Linked DNA regions of Oreochromis niloticus. The protein of the gene in region 1 purifies or fractionates together with the protein of each later gene. This does not show direct contact. Links are inferred from orthologs where the notes say so. Each region holds a gene or a part of one and is shown in the gene's direction. Other genes may lie near its edges.

Region 1 (7,794 bases):
TGTGCAGGTGACTATTACTGTGCATAATTATTAGGCAACTTAACAAAAAACAAATATATACCCATTTCAATTATTTATTTTTACCAGTGAAACCAATATAACATCTCCACATTCACAAATATACATTTCTGACATTCAAAAACAAAACAAAAACAAATCAGCGACCAATATAGCCACCTTTCTTTGCAAGGACACTCAAAAGCCTGCCATCCATGGATTCTGTCAGTGTTTTGATCTGTTCACCATCAACATTGCGTGCAGCAGCAACCACAGCCTCCCAGACACTGTTCAGAGAGGTGTACCGTTTTCCCTCCTTGTAAATCTCACATTTGATGATGGCCCACAGGTTCTCAATGGGGTTCAGGTCAGGTGAACAAGGAGGCCATGTCATTAGTTTTTCTTCTTTTATACCCTTTCTTGCCAGCCACGCTGTGGAGTACTTGGACACGTGTGATGGAGCATTGTCCTGCATGAAAATCATGTTTTTCTTGAAGGATGCAGACTTCTTCCTGTACCACTGCTTGAAGAAGGTGTCTTCCAGAAACTGCCAGTAGGACTGGGAGTTGAGCTCGACTGCATCCTCAACCTGAAAAGGTCCCACAAGCTCATCTTTGATGATACCAGCCCAAACCAGTACTCCACCTCCACCTTGCTGGCGTCTGAGTCGGACTGGAGCTCTCTGCCCTTTACCAATCCAGCCACGGGCCCATCCATCTGGCCCATCAAGACTCACTCTCATTTCATCAGTCCATAAAACCTTAGAAAAATCAGTCTTGAGATATTTCTTGGCCCAGTCTTGACGTTTCAGCTTGTGTGTCTTGTTCAGTGGTGGTCGTCTTTCAGCCTTTCTTACCTCGGCCATGTCTCTGAGTATTGCACACCTTGTGCTTTTGGGCACTCCAGTGATGTTGCAGCTCTGAAATATGGCCAAACTGGTGGCAAGTGGCATCTTGGCAGCTGCACGCTTGACTTTTCTCAGTTCATGGGCAGTTATTTTGCGCCTTGGTTTTTTGACACGCTTCTTGCGACCCTGTTGACTATTTTGAATGAAACGCTTGATTGTTCGATGATCACGCTTCAGAAGCTTTGCAATTTTAAGACTGCTGCATCCCTCTGCAAGATATCTCACTATTTTTGACTTTTCTGAGCCTGTCAAGTCCTTCTTTTGACCCATTTTGCCAAAGGAAAGGAAGTTGCCTAATAATTATGCACACCTGATATAGGGTGTTGATGTCATTAGACCACACCCCTTCTCATTACAGAGATGCACATCACCTAATATGCTTAATTGGTAGTAGGCTTTTGAGCCTATACAGCTTGGAGTAAGACAACATGCATGAAGAGGATGATGTGGACAAAATACTCATTTGCCTAATAATTCTGCACTCCCTGTACAGCTGTGTGGCTTGGGAAAATAAATTATAAGAATTTATTTGAAGTGTATTTTATTTGTGTCAGTTATTTTTTTTTTTTAACATTTTTTTAAATTGTAGTTCTAATTTTTTTAAATTTTTTGTCACTCAAAATAAGCGTATCGAGAATTTCAACCCCAGGGAGGCCAAGTATGGAGAAATGTCAGGAAAGAAAAATATCTGAAGAAAATAGAACATTTAATGATGCCCGGGCGGATTCATTGGCATTTACTTCTGATGAGAGTGGCCTACCAGTATGCCTAATTTGTGTAGAGAGATTGGCTAACAATAAAATGTCAAATGTCGCAAGACATTTCCAAAATAAACACACAGCCTTTGCTGAAAAATACCCGGAGGGAGAAGTGAGAAATAAAGCTGAAGAACTGAAGCGGAAAGCTGATCTGAGGGAAAATCAGTTGAAGAAGTGGATGAAGTCTGCAAATTCAACTATGCAAGTTTTGTGGCCGTTTAGGAAATAGTCAGGCATGGGAAGCTGTTCACGGAAGGAGAATATATGAAAGAATCATTCATTAAGATTTGAGAATGGGTCGTCAACACCTTCTAGAGTCTAGAAGGTGTTGACGACCCATTCTGGTTGAAGACCCAATGATCACTCCCATTCAGCTGACTGATAACATCTGAAATTCAGTTTCGCTGGACGGCCTTAGAGAATATAAGCAGATTTTTAATTGTATTTTGTCACTTTAACAGCCTTCCTGCTGAGAAAGACTTCAGTCATGCCCTGACATGCAACGGCAAAGTAAAAAAAAAAGCCAAAGATAAACCATTAAAATACAATTAAAAAAACCCCCCAAACTACTATTATTCCACTAAATACCATAAAACTTATTGGGTTTATGCTATTTAATGTGGAAATAGTGAAATTTGGCCTTTTTGTATTTAAAATAAGATTCTGTTTTCTGTAGGACAAAGTTTGGATAATTAGTTTCAAGGCCTTTTTTGGAATTTTGTTTTACAACAAACAACGAACGAGGACAAGCCAATGTGGGTGGGGCAGACAGTTACAAAGAGGGAAAGCTAAATGAATAACCGAAGAGAGATTCATTAGCAAAATAAAACACGGGCAATAGTGAGGGAAGATAAGGACGCTGATAGGGAGACATGAGAAACACGAGAAAGAGTATCAGTTACTCAACTCAACAAATACTCAACAAGAACCAAGAACAAAGACACATTTGATTGAGCTGAAGCTTGGCCCCCTACATGTTTAAAGGATTTTCTTTTTTTTTTTAAACACTTTATTTAAAGTATACATATAAAATTTACATACACATACAATTACATATACAAAACCATGATCACATACTACTCATTAAGGAAAAAGGAAAACAAGGAGGAAAGTCGAGCATCTGAGTCCACAAAGTACTTTTAAAACTTACAGTTTCAATACGTTCCAGGGGAAAACTTTTCCAAGTTTCAGGTCCATTGTTCTTCTTCTCCGCAGATCTGTAATGATATGTTTACTCACCACATCACTGCTTATCATCTTTTGTTCTATCACTCCTTTGGTACGGGTTTTCCAGATATGTGTGTTTATTACACACATTATTAACCAAAAGAGTCTCCTTTTGTCTTCACTCATTTTCTCTTTAAACAAACCATATTTAACTGCTTTAATGTTAACATCAACATCATACCCAATTTCTGTCATCTTCTGCCTTATCTTAGTTGTCCTATAACAGTCCAAAAGAAGATGTTCTAAGGTCTCATCTTCGTCACAGTTTATCATAGGGCATTTCATGGTGGTAACAAAACAACTCCACTGCACCACTGCCCTCACAGGGAGGCGCCCGAGCGAGATGAGCCATACCACATCTCTCATGCTTTCGGATAATAATTTGTCTTGTATATTTTTAACAACCAAAAGATTCTCGTCTTTATCTACGTACTTATATTGAATCATACCTTCATTTTTAATTTCATTAATTTTTTTATAAATATTTTTCGTATTATCTTGGAGAATATTTAGGCTATAATGTCCCCATTGACTTGATAAATCTCCAAACATAAGTCTGTGGTATGGTACGCCCGCTCTGGCCCTGCCTCTTTTTTTATGCCACAATTCTTCCTTCCCTCGAACCCACGGGGCACCCCGAGAAATTGCACTGTGAGTATTTTTAATAAAAGGGATTCGCAAAACAATTTTTAAGTCTGGGGCTCCCAATCCCCCGTGCTTCTTACTCTTGTGCTGACACGACCAGGATTCGAACCTGGCCCTCCTAGTCTCAAAGCGGCTACTCAGCTCACTGAGCCAAACTATTTCTTAAAGGATTTTCCATGCCTTATCTTAAAAGAAACCTTGACTGAAACAAGCAGCTATCAAAGTAAACCAATACCAAAAGACCTATAACAATATATACCATTATTTGAAAGGATGTGTTAATGCAAATCATTGCAACTCTTTTTTAGTCCAACAAAATGGATGAAGCTGAGTTAGAAGTGGGTTTGAACAAGTCTTAAATTTGTATTACCAAAATACAAAATAACTTCACTGATTCCTTTTTCCCCCTGTATAATAAGTGCAGTTAAATTTGAAGTATTATGTAATCCATCTGACCATGTAGCATTTACTGGCTGTTTATGTTGAGTATCAATGAAATGATATGGAGTCTAGTGATGATGTCTAGTCTATGTTTATTCACCACTCAGACATGTAATACAGCAATAAACTGCTGATGCTGTGGTGCATCTTTTATCCCTTTATCAATGATAATGCTGCAGATATAATGTAATCTTTCAGGTTTATGTGAATTTTCTAGAAACTGCAAACTGTCCCCCTCCCTTCACCTATCGCAGCATGCTCTGCTACTTGCTGCAGCAAGCTTTTGTTTAAATCATAATCATTGCAGAATTCATTTGTAAACTCTATCCTGCACATAATACACTGAATACATGCTACATACATAAAGGATCGAACTCCTCTATAAAGAATACTTAAATAATAGCGTTTACTGCATCTCAGAACTGTGTGTGCAGTTTTTTCTGCAGCACTCAGCCCTTCAAAACACAAATACCCTCAATGCGGCTTTTTCCTCTGTGGGGTTTATCGGTCGCCCTGAATGATTTGATTCTTTTCACCAACTGTATCAGTTACCCGCTAAATCGGTTTCTTTAACCTTGTTTTTAACCGATACTGATTGTAGAAACACAAATATGACACGATTCATAAACAACGATTAAAGGAAGAATGAATATTGCGGAGATTTAAAAAAGCAGAAGCCGCTAAAGGGAAGATAACTCGACTTATTTCGTTCCTAAAAAGAGTCGTTAAGCCCGCGAGTCATTCAAAAGAATCCAATCGTCGCGAACATCACGTGAATGGAAATTTCCAGAAGCGGGTTTAAAGCCCGCTGCGGTCTCCTCCCGCTTTCACTTGAGTGACGACGGTGGAAGAGTGAACTTCGAGGAAGACACTTCGGTTGCTTTTTTTCTGAGCTATTTGGCTGCAAACCAACAAATTCGAGCATTTTGAGCTCCTCTGTCAGCTTTTCGTCTTTTGATATACTTTTGGGGGGCAACAATTTGCCACAGCGTTTGCTCTTTATATCGACGTTAACAGAAAGAGTATCTTCGAGTTACAGTCGAACTGGTAAGACAAACAACGCCGTTGCCTTTATTTTATTTCCAAGCTAGAGTTACACGAGACGGTTTCAGATTTAAAAAAAACAAAGCTTGTGACTAATGCAAATTTAATGATGTGGATAAATTATTATTTGCTAATGTTGCTCAACGATAACCTTTAAAAGTTGTATTTTAACAACTGCTGGAGAAGCCTTAGCTCAGGGTTACGTCATCCTGGAACTTTCCAGTTCAAGCCGGTTTAGCCGGTGATGTTACACAACACTGCTTTACCGGGCTTTGCTCACTAGGGGCAGCACTGAGAGTGGTTATGCAACGGTTATGCTGTCTTTTAATAGATTTTAACGGCTGACACACGTTTCTAACACATAATGTAATTTAAGACATTCCTTTTATAAGTTGTTTAATGTTCGGGGAGCAGTTTTTAGTTTTAGCCTGCCTTGAAATGTGATATTACCAGTAGTCTGCAGTCAGACTTGCCAGTTATGCAGTTGCACTTTGCTCTTTAGGGGCATCATTGAGAAAGTGGTGGTAATGCCACATTAAAAAGACTGTTCCAGTAAAGTACTTAAAATTACTGAGGCATGCTGACCACCACTGACCAAGTGTTCTCATTGTTTTAGGCAGGTTTTCTTTTCTCTTTCCAGCCTTTGGCAGAAGACCAGACAATGGCCAAGGGAACAGGCTCTCATTCTGAAATGGCCCGTGCTCGCCAGAGCGATGGCCTCAATGTGATCTTTGACCAGAAAAGCCCCACCTCATCCCGATCCTACTCCAGGTCACGCTCCAGATCCCGCTCTGTGTCCAGGAGCAGCTATGACAGCAGCCGCTCCTCAGGCTCTTACAGAGGGCGGGATAGACGCAGACGCTATTACAGATCATCATCATCATCTTCTTCTTCATCGTCCTCATCATCTTCTTCCAGGAGCAGGTCCTCCTCTCGCTCCAGGTCACGCTCCTACCCCCGCTGCCACAGACGCTCCTCTTGCTGTCGATGTGACGACCACAGCAGAAGTAGCAGAGGTCGTTCTCGTCGTTCCCCACCCCGCCGTTACAGGGCCCACTCTCGCTCATTCAGCCGCTCACCAGACAGATACTCAAATCGCAGACGGTACAGGTCTCCCTCCAGGTCCCGCTCAAGGTCCCGATCCAGGTCATCCTTCCGCTGGAGCAGGTCCAGGGGCCGCGTGAGCCAGTATCGATGCAGATTTTCACGATCCCCATCCAGGAGCCGATCCCGATCTGGTGGACGTTCTGTCAGCCTCAGTCTGCATGGTAAGATCTCTAGTTGATATCAGTAGAAATTGACAGCAAGCAGTAATGATGCTCGTATTAAATGTCCTCATTTGGTTTGTGTCTAACAGATAAAAGGGAACTCCTCGAAGCTGCAAAGGCCAACGCCATGAAGATCCTGGGAGTGGAGAAACTGGAACTTCCTGAGAGTGTGAAACCAATCCTGTCAGAACCTAAGCGTGAGCCAGAGAAAAGGGTGAGACACGGCTCCGAAAAGACCGCAGCACAGGTGAGTGTCACAGGAAACGTTACCTGTATGTGGAACCTGCCATTCACTGAAGGCAAAGCTTTTAATACTCTAAAGACTTAGATGTGCTTTTTCTTTCCATATAAAGACGAGGGATATGAAGAAGCTTAGAAATATCTCCTGTGCACAGTAGTGCTCTCCTTTAACTCAATCATACGGTAGATGTTAACCCGTTGTTTTTAAATGATTCAGCACTCAGAGGTTATAGCTGTGACTATCTTGTGGTCTGTGTTGTTGACTTTCCTGTCTTGTTTAACCTTTTGGACCTTGAGGGGAACACATGCTCTCTATTTATTCCTGTCTTCATAGATGACATGACAGTGGTCTCCTTCACTCATCGGCACCTGGGATTAAAGGGCTGTCATGTGACTTGGGTGATAACAAAATGTACTCCTTGTAATCTTCACAATCTGCATTTTCTCCACTAGAGGCCAAATAAATGCAAATGTAGATGTCACATCTCACATTTTAGACACTTGCTAATTGCACACATAGATGCAGCCAACTCAGATGTGTTATTACTGATTCACCTTCATGTAGAAAGGAAGTACAAATTTGATATTACAAATGTATTTATGCTTGCAGTTGAAATGGGTCGTTTATTTAGCAGAGCCCTCCACTCGCTGATGGAGCGCACGTGTGTGGACTGCATTATAGAGCTAAAAACAGATGAAGAACTCCTCTCCATATACCAAAGATAAGTTGGTACACATGGCGTGTGCTAAGGGGCTGGGAAACCTGCGTGATCACCATTATGCAACTGTAGACAGAGAAGACTTATACTTTTTTTTTCTTTCTTTTTTTTTTTTTTCTATATAATTTGTTTTGTAGATTGTTTCAAGGTCTCACCTTGAAGCTTGGATTAAGTGTTTGGGGGTTGCATGAGAGCTGCAGTTTGTTGAAGATATACCTACCTACGCAGTAGAAAGGCTTAACTGTGTTAGAAGCAGTTCATCTAATATCACCTTCACAAACTGTGAAAGCTCACTCTGCCTCCAGTTTTGGGGCTTGTGAGTAACTACTTGTTGTCCTTGTTTTTGAACAGGGCACAGAGGAGGAGCCTGATGACGACTCCAGCCCGAGGTCATCCCAGAAAGGAAAAATCGCTTTCAGCATTAACGTAAGTGACCTAAACTAAAGTGAGTTTTCCCTGCTTCACACTGCTCTGAATCACTGGCGATAAAATAATTTGTTTGTTTGCAGAACTCTGTTGCTAAGCCAACATCGGCAGCTCCTCCTACA
Region 2 (7,985 bases), on another chromosome or scaffold:
CATTATATTACATAGAAGGTTGTCTTTCTGTGTTTTTGTCTATTTCACACTTTTCCTTTTTGTTTATGTCAGGATGTTTGTAGTGCAGCAGATACCAGAGAGCAACCTGTTGATGCTGGTGGTGCAAGCAGACTGTGACTGCTCCAAACAGTACCCACCCATCACCCTGGAGCCAGAAGAAGTCAGATATATCCTGTGATGTTTATATTCATGGATCACGTGAATCATGTTCACATAAAGTTTACTTGTTTTAACCTAACTGAAGCATCACCCTGCCTATACACTGAGTCAATCTGGGCACACTTTGTAGATCTACAGTACCTACAGTACAGACTCTTTATTCTAACATGTGTATTAATTAAGCATGCTGGCCTAAATCGTTGTGTTTCTTTAACTGACTCAACCAACCGTACTGTTAAGTTAGATTCCAGGTGTGGGCCTGCCATGTCATATCTTTGAAATGTTTATACTGCGTGTCTTTAGTCGTAATATTTGAATGAGCGTGCAGGAAAACCATACTATGTTTCTGTTGCTGCTCCTTGACCCTGCTGTACATAACTCGTCAGTGAAGTGTGACAGGATGAAGTCTCAAAAGGTTCGCAGACGCCCCGAGTCTTGTCACTCTTATCACGCGCAGGTCAGAATTTCATCACAGCACGACACATCAAAAAACACGTATATTCATACAACCCTGTTACAGCATAAATATTACAATAATAAGTACTATAAAAACTTCTCAAATGTCAAAGCTGAGCGTTTTTTCCTTCTTAAGTTGATGCCTGCAAAAAAACAGACAAACAAAAAAATGCAGGGACAACCACTGTAAATGTTTTGGAACTGAGGAGATCAGTTGCTGCACTTTTGAAAGAGAAATTAATTCCCATTGTTGGTTGATGTAGGGTTTCAGCTGCTCTGCAGCTTGGGGCCTCTTTTGTTATCTTTTTCTTTTACAGTGCACCAAATGCTTTTATTTGGTGACAGATTCTCACTGTGGGCAAACTACTGTTTTTTTTTATTTGTAAATGCAGCTACAAAGTGTGTTCTCTGATGAAGGTTATCAGAAGTGTTCCCACTTCCATGCAGCAATTTTGACTAAATAATCTGTGTTTTCAATGCAGAGCTTGAAGAGCATTCAGTGTTGGTTTTCTGCTTTGTCTAGTTTTTCAGAATCTATTTAAAGATATGTTACTGTATATGAAAAAACCACAAGTTCTCTGCAAATTTACATTATGAAACATTGCTCTTAATTGAATCACCCAGACTGTTCAACCCTCCCTATCTTTACTGATGAAAAGGTCTCTAGGATGCTCTTTTTACACCTATTCATGTTACTAATTGACCTCATTAGCTGTGAGATATTATAGAACTTTTCTAGTATTTTTGTTGTCTGGCTTGACCATTTTGAGACATGTTACTGGCATCAAATTCTAAATGAGCATATATTATGTTAAAAAATAATAAAATAATTGAATAAATAAAACATAGTTTTGTGCAAAGGTTTTGAGCCACCACTCATTTCTTTATATTTTGTTTCCAAGGAGGCAGACTTTGTTGTCATTTTTTAAGTGGTCATAAGCAAAGGCCTTCCCATTATTCTGACTCAAGACTTTTGCACATTACTTTATTTCATTCAATGTTTTGTCTTTGTACTAGTTTTAATTTACCTTTTCAGAGCATCTTCGTGTTTTTGAAAATGGGGTTGCACATGTGTTTAAACATGCATGCATAAAACCAGCATTCTTCTCTTGTCTTACTCAACTGCTTCTGTGCCCTAAAATGATTTTCTGTTTGAATACATCACATTTTCATGAATGATTGGTAGCAAATTGAAGACTCGCCAGGTGAAGTAATTTTCTGCTTTGTCTCTGCAGGAGAACGCCGATGACTGTGGAGGAGCCTCTTTTATATCTCCGTCAACCTCTGTTTTCTTCATGTGTCTCCTTTTTGCTGCACTTGTTTCCCGATGACGGATAACTTCGCTCTTTTACGCTTCATCATATAAAGGAAAAGATGACAAAAACTGAAATCCTTGAGTGGATTTTTTTTTTAACTACTGAACAGATTCTGCACATTTTGCTCACAAAGGCGACAGACGCAATCTCTCTTGAAGGACCTTGGATGTTATGAGCATTTGCTGGTTAACTCCAGAGAATTACATTTGAACTAAAAGCTGCAAAAAAGAGAACTTGCTGTACTGTTGTTGCCATGGATACTTTTTTTCATTTGTTATTTTCTTATGCTCCACATTGTATCTCTGAACGAAAAGGGACTGAAGGGTGACGGCTAGCTGTGATGGGTGTTAATGAACAAGAATTAAGGATTCACACGGTACAACATGAAAAAGTGAAAAGAGAAAAACATGCATTATTCACTTCCCATATTCTAATGAGCTGCATATTTATCCACACACATGCATATTATATATGCGTTGGATACATCCAGTAAACACATCTAATGCATTATCTGCAGACTTTTATAAATGCAGAATAGCCAGTGAGAAGAGGGCTGCAGTAGGGCGATATAGGGAGACACTGTTGTGTTGCTAATGAGTCATGTTAATAATGGACAAGTTGACACTGGATAAGGTAAAGTAGGCACAATTGGACTCAATGGCTAATTATCTGTGTAAAATTAATATGCAATAAAGTAAAATAGAATGGAGTTGTCAGCCTCTACGGGAACTATGTTTTCACTTTTTATTTCCATCCTATAAATGTATGTTTCTGTGACTATTATTTTTACATATCTGTCTGCCTTTTTTTGTCTTTTGTCTCTCGCTACATACCATAACTAATTATGTATGTCTGGCTAATGGGCTGTAAATGCTGAAATAATAAATGAGCTGAAGATCGTCACACTCTAAAAAGGTAATATCTAACTTTTGACATTAAAACAATGCATACATGCATTTGCAATGTATTTGGCACCAAGGATTTACATTTTTGAAAAATTCTACAAATGTTTTTGCAATTAAAAAAATATTTATAGTTTTTTTTAAAAATATGGTTTATGAACGCTCTTCTTAAGGCTTTTTTTCTTCATTTAAAATGTAACTTTTATAGCAATGCTCGCTATTATAGCTCAGTCACTAAAAATAAAATGTCACAATAATAAAAATTTAATCTCAGTGTCAATTAGCACTATAAAACTAACTGCATATGATATTTTTGTATATATTTGCCTGTATGTTTTATATTTTGCACTTTTTGCTGAGCACTTAAATGCATTTTTGGCTCTGAGTGTCAGTGTAGCCTTTTCTACACCCATTTTTAATTGTCTCTCAAAGCACGCATAGAAGTTAAACTTATGAAGTTTCTGAGAGTTAATTATTTAGCTGTCCTGATTTTGTTTATACTCTCCACGGGTTGGCTTTACCACGTCTGTGGCCCTAATTTGTACTGTGTAAATAAAATTATAAATTTGGGTTTTGTTGTTTATCTTCTTTAAAAAAAACTTGAGTAATTTATTTTGGCCACATAAAGGCAAATTGATAACAGTTATCAAAATTAGGACTTTACTGGTAAGTGGATTCAATCCTTCAGTTCTGTCTACTGACAACCTGAGATTTTTTTATTTATTTTTTTTTAAATATATATAAAAGAAATGACTCTGACTGGAATTTTAGTGATAGTCAAAGCTTTGTACTCATTCATACTTTGAAGTTCTTTGGTTTGAACGCATAAAATCCTGTCAATTCATCACAGGTCTAGCACAGATAGACAGAAAACAAAGAAAATCTACGCTCACACCCAACTTAAAATCCCCAGTTAAGCATGCACGTCTGAGTACTGTGGCGGGATCCCAGAGCATCCAGAATGGTAAATGGAAAACATAAAAACATTATACAGAAAGGCCCCAGCGGACCAGGAGGCACAAAAGAGGAAGCTTCTTGCTTTCAAGTGACACTGCTAATCACTGCATCTTCATACTAATAAAATATATTTAATTTGATGTGTAAAAGAACCCGTTTCAAATACCACCAGTAGACACATGGCAGGTTTAGGGAAGATTAATTCATCCTCCTGACCACCAATGCAATATTAGCATTATTTTTATTTTATTTTTTCTCTCTCTAGTGAATTGTCAATTAAAAGTTCTAAAATTGCTGCATTCAGCCTCTTGCTTCACAGCTCGTTCGATATTATTTAAATACCTAAGCAAGTAAACTGCAGACAAATGTGGTCATGCAATGTTCCGAGTTTCACTCTGAAATCTATACCACTCAGGGGTTCCGATACGAGAGCCTGGCAGTTTTGGTGACCAGATCCCAACAAACTAAATATGGGGCAAAGACTGTGTTTGTCTAGGACAAAGTGGAAAACATTAACAATGCTAGGGGGGTACCCCATATATTCCAAGCTCTCTTGTTGAATAAATACAGTAGCGATTAAAAAAAAGCACGAGTTTGTCCTATGGCTCACACACAACAGTCTTTATAATCTCCTGTATTCTCAGTAAGGATGTGACGGTAGATTGGCATAGTTATAACACACATATATTCTGTGTCTCTTCACATTATATTTTCTCCTGTGTGAAACTAAAAAAAAAAGACAACTGTATTTCTCTGTGTGTCATTTTCTTTGTGGTAGTTTACATCATCATTCAAACTCTGCAAAGCCCTGGAGGTTTTGATCTCTTTGAACTTTCCCTGATGACTATAGCATTGTAACAAAAAGCAGTTTATTGTAATAGAAAGTCTTCCCTTCATATAATTGGGTAAAAGCCAGACTTGAGAATATCCTCAAAAGCAAGTAAATTGTGGGACATTGTCTCAAGGCTATAAAAAATGGGCCATATAATTAAAACTGATGTCACACATGCTATAAATCATAAGTAAAGCAAGAGGATGTATAAACATGTAAACTGTTTAACAAGTTTTGCTTTTTTAACACGGTGGACTCGTTTCACAGTCAGTGATGACTGCAACAGATTTTCCCGTGGTCTACACGGGTGATGTTGTAATGAATGAAATTAACCAGCGGGGGCGCTCGTTGCCTGTCTTCTTTTCATTGTTTGTGGTGTACCGTCGTTGTAGTCTGCACCGCAGGCGGTGAGAGCTGCTAGTCAGAGGAAAATGGCGGACGGTGTGGATCATATCGACATCTACGCCGACGTCGAGGAGGAGTTTAGCCAGGTAATAAATACATATTTTCCTACCTCGCTTATAGGTGTTAATTTTTTAATATCTGTATAATCTGCTATCTTTATTGTAACCTACAAAGTGGCGAGCTTTTGTGCCTAAAGAGGCTCTCTGACATACAAGGCCTTTTCAACATGCTGCAAGCCTGCAGCCTCTGCTATCGGCGTGCTTTGCAGACTTTTGTTTGTTCGTGGGGTTGTCGATATTTAACATGACTTTTCATGTATTTAGTGATTAATATGCACGCTGCAGTTGTTTCGTGATGTGCGTTGTTATTTATTCAAGTAAATGCTAAATGCAGCCGTCTTCACGGCGTAGCTTGGGTTCAGGCCTTGGCATGGTCGCCAGTGGCGGGCTAGCAAGCCAAACAAACGCACTTTCGTTAGCGAGCTGACATTGACTAATTCACAGCTATCACGCTGTCATGTCTAGTAAGTCTTTAATTTTTTAAGTTGATAAAGAGAAGTGTTAAGCTAAACCGAACGCCTTTAGGCTCTAAGGTTGTGTAAACATTTTCCAACCGACAATGGGCAGGCTAATAACTGACGGTAGGCGAATATATCGACGATAGGCTATCGTCGATATACTCGTCCAGTCGCCCAACCTTAGTAGGCTCTGAATAGTGTAGTAAACACGGCATGTTGTTAGCATGGATTAGGTCAATGTTGGGGCTATTCAGAAGATATTTTTCTCCACACGCCCCTTTTCTGTGACAAATCTTTTAATTTGTCCCAATTGGAGCAATTGTTTTCGCACAGGGTGCATAAATAAACCACTTCAAATTAATTTGATACGGATATAAGTTCTACGAAGCTTGCGACTGTCTGCTGATCACAAGTTTATGCTGTTTTTTCTTTTTCTTTCATCACCTAATTTACGTCTGCATGCTCTTGTAATTTGAACCCTTAGCATTTGTTGACTAATATCTCCTTTAACCTCTAAGATTATCAGTAATTGGCCGTTGTGCTTTGCAGTGTCTTTAAATTAGGATAGTTATATCAGCCATACTTTCTATCTGTGGCATTTTACACAGTGTTTATGTGTGGATTGTAAAATGTGATCGAAGTATTTAAAAAAAAAATCTTCTAACACTTTGGTCATTTTAGGAGTCTTGCCAACTATACTATATTTAACACCACAAGTAACCTTTATGATTATTATTATCATACTACAATCTGGATACACTGTGAAGCTTAGCCCTAAATTGACTTTTCCTGGTCAGCATAAAGCAGTTGCATGATCCTAGCGTTATTGAACTTGAATTGATTCAATAGTGAATTACATCTTTTTAATGAGTGCTGGTATGTTTTTCTGACAACTGCCTATTGCAAAAACAATTAAATCAGACTCAATTCAGTGGGAATTTTACACACCTGTCACAAGGAAACCTTTTTGTACAATGTGATGGTGAAAACCAATATAGGTTTGCTATTCTGGTGTTGGTGAGGAAACTGATTCAGAATCAGATCAGACATAGACGTTGATAGATTATATCCTTGGTGTTAATAACATCAAATCATTATCAAGCTCTAGATATTAAGTGCTTCACTGATCTGTTCTTGCATTCTTAATACAGGAAGCTGACTACCCAGTTCATGATCAGATCGACCTGTATGATGATGTAATATCCCCATCAGCCAATAATGGTGATGCTCCAGAAGACCGGGATTACTTGGATTCACTGCCAGCCCCAGGTGGCACAGAAGGAGGGAAAAGCGCCCCGCCCAACGTGGTGTACACCTACACTGGAAAAAGAATAGCCCTGTACATAGGAAACCTCACATGGGTGAGTGTCAGATTGTCTAAAAATTGGACTGACAAATTTAATTGTGATCCATACGTGATGCCATTTTGCTTGGGGTTGTTTTTGCAGTGGACAACAGATGAGGACTTGACAGAAGCTATCCGGGTGATAGGCATCACAGATGTGCTGGAGATAAAGTTCTTTGAAAATAGAGCCAATGGCCAGTCAAAAGGGTGAGGTCTTTATTATTTTATTTCTGTAACAGTTGCACTAAGTCAAAGACTATGTTAAGTATTTCGTATTAGGAGTACAGGGTGGGATCACACTGAGTCAGTTTTATGATTATATTACCACAAAGCTGCTGTTTCTAAAGACATAAATATATTCTTCATTGTCAGTGACCTTGTTTAGATATTACTATCAGCTCAGAATTTCACAGTGCATTGACGTTTATGCAATCAAATATCTGACTGTATGCCCTCTGCGTGTGTTTTCCAGGTTTGCTCTGGTGTGTGTTGGTTCAGAGGCATCCTCCAGAAAGTTAATGGAGCTGCTGTCAAAGAGGGAGCTCCATGGTCAGAATCCCATTGTCACACCATGCAACAAGCAGTCCCTCAGCCAGTTTGAAATGCAATCACGCAAAAGTAAGTAGGGCAAGTGTGCACATGGTTTATTTATCCGAAGAGATCAGTACTGGTTAAAGGAAGTTATGTATAAAATTTGCACATGTTGGAATGTGTGAGTTATTCTGAAGATGAATATATTTGACTACCCAATACATCACATATGTTACATGACCCGTGTTTAATCTTAGCATATGTATGAACTCATACATGTAATTTATTCTTGTTTCTGTCTCTTAGCCAGGTGCACATATTGATTAATGATTACGTATGAAATGAGTTTATATTTTATCTTTTCACAGGTACCCAGACAGGCCAGATGTCTGGGGAAGGAAAGGCTGGTCCTCCTGGTGCTGGACCCCGTGGCGGTTTCCCCATGGGCAGCCGAGGGAGAGGCAGGTTCCCCGGACCACCTGGCCCCGGAGGAGACCGCTTCCCTGGTCCTGTAGGGCCTGGGGGTCCTCCACCACACCTTCCT
Region 3 (7,878 bases), on another chromosome or scaffold:
GGCAAAATAACAAAAACATTAATGTAAACATTTACACAGCTACTTAAAAAACAACAAACATGTAAAAATCGTTAAAAACATTGTTGTGATGACTAGAGTTAATTTCATGCATACCTGCATTTGTAGGCTCCTTCAGAGGTGAGTTTGTTGCAGCTGCTGCAGTTTGGGGTGTAGCCAAGGGATCCATTCGAGGTGGAGGGGCCTGGTTTGGGTCCCATAATACCGCCAATAGCCCCAATTGCCTCAGGGGGACCTTCAGGGGATTTGTGGGTACAACACTGGACAGAAAAGTCGCTGCACATTCTTTCCACTACCTCCTTTACCACCTCATCCTTAAACTATGAAAAACAGAAGGAAAGCACAGTATTTTATTTAATCGCCAATTAAAAAATAAAACGTTCCATGTAAAAATACTGCTTCACAGCAGCAGTTAAATTTTACCTTCTCCATGTATGATCTAAACCACATAGGAGGGGGCTCATCATCTGGTTTGTTCCCCTTGTTATCTTTTACTGCTACCTGCATGAAAATACACCATTCTTCAGTTAATTGACAAAATCAGAGATTTTAGCTTTTAATAAATAAGCACAAACTTTTTCCCCAACAGGTAAAAAAAACTTAACTGATTCGAGGCACTGACTTTATTAAAATGATTTCAAAGGCACTGCACATGTGAGAATCTATAGGGAGAAGAAAGTTGGGGGGGAAGAGTAGAATTACTTACAGCTTCTCGCTCAGGGGTGACCTGCGTGCCTTTGTCCACTGTTTTAACCCTTGAGGGGTAAGGAGGAGCGGGTCGAAGGTCTCCTTTCAGCTCCTTCACCTCGGTCTTCAGTGGGCCCCCACAGGCCTGTCCTTTCATCTTGTACACATTCATGTGCAACTGGTTTCCCTGCTTCTCTGCACTCTGCATGGAGAATTAGCACAGAATGCAAACCACAGTCAAGTGACATGAGAACACACAGTAGCAACGTGATGTGTGTACAGATGCATAGTACATATACTGCACATATATTCTCTTATTTTCACTGTTTGTTCTTCTATAGCTTTGGTAGTCTAATTAAGGACACAGTTGTGTTGTTTATGTCTTAAGTGTAGTTTTACGGTGCAGGTTCTCTATGTAAGGATATATTCTATAGCAGTGGTTCTCAAACTGTGGTACGCATACCACTGGTGGTACGTGGGCTCCCTCTAGTGGTACATGTGAAGTCTCCTTTTTTTTTACGATTAAATAATATGCCATGTTCTGACTGAGAGATTTCAGAAAAATTCAAACAGCTCTGCTGTCACTTCCAACATAAATGAAGACAGAAAACTAAACAGGAGTGACGTTTGTAGGGTTACTGAAGTTGGGCTAGCTGGTATATAATAATGTGCTACGTGCTGGCTAGCAATACGTCTATGTTAGCATAATATAAACACAGTGAAGCTGGAGGATGAATGCTAACTTTTTTCCACTCAATAAAAGTTAACGTGAGGGTTCCCGATGGTTAGGGACAAATGCAATCGGCAGGATGCTGTAAACGGACCAAACTTCAGTCAGGAGAACAACTGAGATAATCCATCCACAATATGAGGTTAGCCATTAATATACTGCTGTAGAGCAGGGCGATATGACCAAAAATATTTATCACGATATACATTTGAAAATTTGCGATAACGATATAACTGACGATATAATTGACACTAGACAAAATACTTTACAACTCCACAACTTTATTAGTGCAAAAAACACCATCAATGTATTTTCACTTAAACAAGCAGCTATTTTTTTATGTGCATTAAAGTTATATAAAAATGTAACAGTGCAAATTCCTTGCTGACAGTTTAACCAAAAGGCATTTCCAGTGGAAATCGGCCGACATATCCTCAGCAAAACCATGTATAATATCCACAAAACTTAAAAAGAGGTTATACACACACAATATGGTAATATTATGTTGAAGCACAGTACGTATCACTCCGCGAGGCTTCTGCCTACGATAGCCGTAATGCTCCGACAATCCATCAACCGGTGCGGGTTCGTAGCTTAGCAAAGTCGTACTAAAACATTTGACAGATTTTCGAGCGCCATGTACATAAAATCGTTTCGAGGTCAGTAAACACAACCAGAATTCATACATAAGGCACACGGGATTATAAGGGACACTGTCGATTTTCAGAAAAATCAAAGGATTGATTTTAAGTGTGCCGTATTTTCCAAACAACATGGTAATAACGACGGCCCACTAGCATGCGCTACCAAAAATAGTGCTTTGTTGTGTATCTGACTGACGAAAGCTAAACCAGTTCCACACCACTGAAGTTGCAGCATTTTTACAAACCAGTTCTGGTTCATCCGTTTCATTTAAAGATCCACTTTCGCTCTTCTCATTCTGCGTCGCCGCCATGTGCGTATGTAAACATAGGCACTGCGCATGCGCGTTTTACCCATATTCTATTGCGATATTTCATTTTCCTATCGTTGCCCAAAATTACACCGGTATTACCGTGAACAGTATGATATAGCCCAGCCCTATATACCGCTGCATGGCCTGGGCTGTAGTTACATGGTAAGGTTTTAAAAACTGAGCTTTAAAATGAACAGGGGTGATAATAACCGAGAGAGGCTGACAGTGATCAATGCCATTTTTAGGGGCTTGTTCAGATTAAATAGAACAAGATACACAACAAAAACACAACAGCCTTAATAAACGCAGAGTAGTTTAGACCCAGAAGCAGGATTCATCACGTCATCATTAAAGATTGGATATCCCACCTGCTGTGAATGTTTTAATGCAGTACAGTTGTTATTATTATCACTTGTCACATCCTGTTCATGACAGTTAAAATAAATAACATTCATATAATAAATAAAATTGTCTCGTGTAAACTGTATATGGTGTTAAGTAACCCTATACCACTGTACTTTAATGTCGGTCATAAGGGTGGTACTTTAAGAGCCATATATTTTATGAGGTGGTACTCTTTTTGAAAAGTTTGAGAATCACTGCTCTACAGTAACAAAAGCTATCACTCTGTCCTTTCTGTTTAAACCCAGCACTGCTACAGTACCTTGATGGCTTCTTCATATTCATCTGTGGGGGGAAAAACAAACAAACAATAAATAACTTCACATTTTGTGGCTCAAATCTGTATTTTTTCCTGGTATTTTGATATTTTCATGTACGGGTACACCAGGAGTAAGGGTCAAAAAGTTTAGGTTCCAAATGTAATAACTTTCTAGCAATGTATTTTAAAGACCAGTTAACAACTTGAAAGACACAGCTTGACTTCACACATCATTGTTTACTGTTATGCATATCATGCTACATGTCCTGCAGGCCAAGCTGTGAATATTCAACACAATGCTTACAAAACCGGTTTGCTCGAAACACATTTTTTATAATTAATGCAGAAAAGGATGTTGATCACAATCCCCGTAACCAAAAGGCAGTTGCCTACCCCATGGAGTTTTTGAGCCTACAATTGAATTACCCATTTGTTTTACCTGTGCATTTAAATGTCTTTGATCTTGACACCCCACTGTTGTCTTCTAGGCCCTTGCTGTTTTACGTTTTGTCTCTGTTTAACACCTTTGTGTTAATTCTGGACCACATGTTTTGCATGGCTTTTCAATGGTTCAGCATAAGTTTAGCTGTTGGTAAGTCCACTGTATTTAGCAAAATTCAAAGCAAATTCTCTGAAGACAGGACTTGACATAATTTCTACAATACATGTTATGAATGCCAATATTATCTGTCATAGGTCCATATCAGGTTAGGAATCTATCAGTTGGACAGCTTTCCTGGATCAAACAGGTCATTAGGGGGTGACTATGTATGTAAGCATAATGGGTTAGGATGTAGTTAGGGAAAAGAGTCTTTGTTATCTTAGTTAACAGAGGTTTGTGCCTTTTCATGTTATTTTTCAGCCACCTGATAAACAAACATGTATTTTAATTTTGAGTATATTAAACCAAGCTTTAAACAAATGCTGGCTACATATATTTTTAACAAAGTCCTGGTGATTTACCTTTGAAGGAAGACCTAAACCTAAACATATTCAACATAAATTATATAGAAAACAAGCAATTAAATATTGTCCTCACCTTGACTGTTTATGCAAATCTGAAATGTAAGGTAAATGAGATCAAAATTAAAAACTGAACTTGGGATTCTGCCAAAACATAACCACTGAAAATCTACAATGTACACAATCCCTTACCTCTTCATTGTCTTCATCAAAGTATTTCACTTGAAAGTGGTTGATCCCAAATGATGCTTTGATCTGAAAAGTAACGCAGAACAATTGAGAGCAGTTCAGTTTTTCTCCTCACACGTGTTAGGAAAAACATGAACCATGACTGAGTCAGTGAGAAAGACCTCCACAGCTGGATACTGTATTATACATATGTAGTAACCTTAAATCAAACTGAGGACATCCTCACTTGTGTGCCTATATTTTGTAAAGCTCCGGCTGGCTTAAAAAAATATTATTTACAAATACATTATTGTTATTGTCGTAACAAGATCGACTATCCTTTGGGAGCTCTGTTTATGTGTCTAGGCCAAAACGTCTAGGCCTACTTTTTCACTAAACTGCGCCAGCGTTTAGCCAAGACTCTGCTAGCTGCTTACCCAGACTTCAACAGCTTCCCACTCCAATTTATCCATATCCTGAGCCAGAAACCTCTTCACGTTCCCCCGGAAATTGACTTTAATAGTAACAGGGAGCCCCATGTCCGCCGTCTATCGGTGCTTAATGGCTATCATTTGCGTGAAACCCGGCCTGTGTGAGCCCCGCTGCCCTCGGATGTTTTCTCTTGTTTACATCGTCAGCTGCGTCTAGAAAAAGACGGTGACGTTGCGCGCAAGCGCAGTTGCAACACCGCCTCCGTCGCATGTTTATTGTCGTCATCTTTAAGCTCACGAAGTGTGGCAGACAAGTGATAAGCCACACGTTTACAGGTGAATTTAATGCTGTTGGGACAATCGTTCTGCTCATATTCGACTACATAAGATGTCTTCACTCCTCAAGCTGGATAGTGAAATTAAAACCAAGGTGAGGTTTGGCCTTTTGTGAATTCCAGTTGAGTTTATACTGCGTGTTGTTGTTGCCATGTTCTTTGCTAGCATGTTAGCCACATTTAGTAGCATGATGTGAGAGCTCGGATAAGGCCAGGCTAACAGCAGCTACCGGCTAACCGGTTTCTTGTTTCCCGCCCACTGCAGTACACCTGTCAAACCTTCCCCCAGGTGTGGTGTCAGGGTGGCGCTAAACGTAACGGGGATATAGATAAAGTTTGATTTACAGCCCCCTGTGCTGGGAAAATGGTTGCTGCTACTACGACCACATGCACTGACGAAGGCCTGAGCTACCAAGTTAGCTAACTCAGCCAGCTGCCGTTCACACCGGCGTTGAGTTACCAATGCTAGAGGTTGTCTCTCACACTGAGGAACCGGTCATGTGTTTAAAACTGGACCAAAATAAAGTTTACTGTCTTAAAGTGTTTTTTGTTAACTTGGTATTCAAACTCTCGTACATCTGTTTGTGTTTACAGGTCGCTGCTTTCAAGGAACGTATCACCGCAGAAGTAAGTCTCTGTCTTACGTTGTAAATTAAAATATATACATGCAGGAGTTTATCCTGGCTCATAGCTAGCCTTTAGGGGCCTGTAATTAAGGCGTAGAGTCTGCTTCTTTATTTAATGGAAGCCTGCGTCCAGCTATGAGTAAATTAAATCTAACTTACTAAAGTGCGAAAAACCAGTGTGGTACTGGTGTAACACCTTTTGTTCTATTTGAGCACTCAAAGCACTTTCTATTAAGCCTCATTCACCCAATCGCGCTCTTGCTCACACACATACATACACATACATTCAAACAGCATTTTTATCTGTACTTGAGCACTGTTTATCTGACATTCACACACACTCACCCACTCACACACCCCAGTTGATGGATTGGGGACAACTGGGGTTAGTATCTTGGCAAAGGATACATTCACACATGGACTGGAGGAACGGGGAATCAGTCTACCAACCTTCTGATTTGTAGGTAGTGTGGAAACTCACAGATATAGATGTTTCTATATATGTATAGCTAAATGTGTATATTTGGTGAGCACAGTTTCATACACACCTATTATGACTGTGATGTCCAAGACTCCACTAACAATGCACATTTCTTCCAGGCAGAGGATCTAGTCGCCAATTTTTTCCCAAAGAAGTTACTGGAACTTGACCATTTCCTCAAGGTCAGTTAATTGTACATTCAGCTAAATCAAGTTGGCATAATTTTAGATCTTTGTGGATAGTTGAAACTCATTCCTTCCCATGTATTATTTGGCTTTAAAGTTCATTATCTGTTAGTCAGTCTTTATCAATTGTCCAGAATTAAAATAGTAACAGCCAGGTGCTGTTAAACAAATTCACTTGACGAACTGGTCATCAGCAAGCATAAACATCTCTATAAAAGCAAAAAATTTGAAGTCCATCATTTTTCAGTGAGGGAGGTTGTTCACAAGAGGAAAACATTGAAATGGGTGTTAGTAATCACAGGTGTGGATGCTCCAGTTAACTCACCCCCAAGGTCAAACTGTACAATGTTCAGAGGTAATTTTTGTAAGAGTTATATCTCTGACTTTACAGGCCTCAGTTAGAATGTTAAAGTGCATGACAGCACAATTAAAGACTGGACTAGTGTGGCTTGTTTGTAAGATTTGCTGGGAGAAGGCTCTTCAGCCACAGGACCTGGCCACCTTCCAGTCACAGAGTCGACCATGAACTCCTCTCTGTCCTAAAGTAGATTCAAATGTGAGGCCATCTGTTTAACAGCTAAAGTTGGGTCACAAAAGACAATGATCTTCAACAGATTGAGTGAAAAAGAGAGAGTAAGGTGTTTTGCTGTTTTCCAGAAAGGTCCAGACTCCAGCTGGGTTTAAATACTGTGACAGGGATTTATGAGACTGTGTATTAGTAAACACCTGCAAACCTTAATAAAGTGAAGTAGCATATAAAGAGTGGGCCAAAATTCCTCCTGTGAGAGACTGATATCATACAGAAAACTATTCAGGTTGTTGCTGCTAAAGGTGGTTCTGCAAGCTATTGAATCATGGTGTGTTCTTAGTTTTTCCTCACACTGCTTCTGTCCTTTGGCTTGGTTATTGTTGACTACGTAATGACATAGTAGTGTCCAAGACTTCATATGTCACTACATAAGTCATATGTTTTTCATCTGTGTTTGTATTCAGCCATTTTTCAAACCTGCTAGATCAGATTTTTTGATGTCCTGACATGTGAAATAGATTAGATTTGGCAGCAGATGTGCTTTCTTCTTATCATGTCTGTATATTTTGGCATTTGACAACTAATCTTGTCTTTGTTTTTTTCAGGATCCAAGCATAAACATCACTGAACTGAAGGAAATTCACTCAGACATAAATCTGCCAGTGCCAGATCCCATCTTGTTCTCAAATCTCCACGATGGGCTAGAAGCGGTGAGGATCCATTTTAGAGTTAGATTTCGTATTGTTACAGTAACTGTTGGTAAGGTAAGGATGAGAAATTGTTTGTAACTGTTGCATCTCTCTCACAGCAAAATGCCAAAAAGAGGAAGATGGAGGATGGAAGTGGGGTTGACATGGGTAAGTACAGTTTCGCTGGCTGAATATTTAGTCTGTATTTTATGTATTTTTAACTTTTACTCCTTTATCAGTGACTGGCACCAAGGTCTTCGCCATGCCTGATGGGATGATGAAGAGCAATGCGAACCTTGTTGATCTTATTGAAAAGGTCAAGCCCGAGATCAGGACACTCATAGAAAAATGTAACACAGTAAGTAAGAGCTCTAAAGTCTCTTATCTTATCTAAGTAATGTTATTTTGGCCATTTGGCAT

Evidence for each region. The genes of interacting proteins can lie anywhere in the genome.
Region 2: the proteins of rsrp1 (region 1) and cpsf6 purify together in Homo sapiens (affinity purification with mass spectrometry; 3 studies listed by BioGRID and IntAct, with this or other methods). This does not show direct contact. The link is inferred for Oreochromis niloticus from reciprocal best matches to the Homo sapiens genes RSRP1 and CPSF6.
Region 3: the proteins of rsrp1 (region 1) and psme3 purify together in Homo sapiens (affinity purification with mass spectrometry; 3 studies listed by BioGRID and IntAct, counting the BioPlex papers as one, with this or other methods). This does not show direct contact. The link is inferred for Oreochromis niloticus from reciprocal best matches to the Homo sapiens genes RSRP1 and PSME3.

What each region holds. Positions count from the first base shown.
Region 1 is NC_031983.2:27,287,324-27,295,117, forward strand, and holds the start of rsrp1 (arginine/serine-rich protein 1), read left to right. Parts: upstream 1-4,787; 5' UTR 4,788-5,022; intron 5,023-5,635; exon of another isoform or gene 5,636-5,639; 5' UTR 5,640-5,680; coding exon 5,681-6,287; intron 6,288-6,376; coding exon 6,377-6,534; exon of another isoform or gene 6,535-6,939; intron 6,940-7,159; exon of another isoform or gene 7,160-7,597; coding exon 7,598-7,672; intron 7,673-7,755; coding exon 7,756-7,794.
Region 2 is NC_031981.2:10,572,518-10,580,502, reverse strand, and holds the start of cpsf6 (cleavage and polyadenylation specificity factor subunit 6), read left to right. Parts: upstream 1-4,978; 5' UTR 4,979-5,074; coding exon 5,075-5,134; intron 5,135-6,716; coding exon 6,717-6,926; intron 6,927-7,013; coding exon 7,014-7,117; intron 7,118-7,382; coding exon 7,383-7,528; intron 7,529-7,809; coding exon 7,810-7,985. Other genes in the region: cacna2d4a (voltage-dependent calcium channel subunit alpha-2/delta-4), read left to right, coding at 73-188, 555-637, 1,872-1,967. UniProt on the Homo sapiens protein: Component of the cleavage factor Im (CFIm) complex that functions as an activator of the pre-mRNA 3'-end cleavage and polyadenylation processing required for the maturation of pre-mRNA into functional mRNAs.
Region 3 is NC_031973.2:6,504,329-6,512,206, forward strand, and holds the start of psme3 (proteasome activator complex subunit 3), read left to right. Parts: upstream 1-4,871; 5' UTR 4,872-5,001; coding exon 5,002-5,043; intron 5,044-5,542; coding exon 5,543-5,575; intron 5,576-6,174; coding exon 6,175-6,237; intron 6,238-7,374; coding exon 7,375-7,479; intron 7,480-7,577; coding exon 7,578-7,626; intron 7,627-7,697; coding exon 7,698-7,816; intron 7,817-7,878. Other genes in the region: nbr1a (NBR1 autophagy cargo receptor a), read right to left, coding at 115-338, 442-519, 725-907, 3,055-3,077, 4,091-4,109, 4,207-4,269, 4,620-4,721. UniProt on the Homo sapiens protein: Subunit of the 11S REG-gamma (also called PA28-gamma) proteasome regulator, a doughnut-shaped homoheptamer which associates with the proteasome. 11S REG-gamma activates the trypsin-like catalytic subunit of the proteasome but inhibits the chymotrypsin-like and postglutamyl-preferring (PGPH) subunits.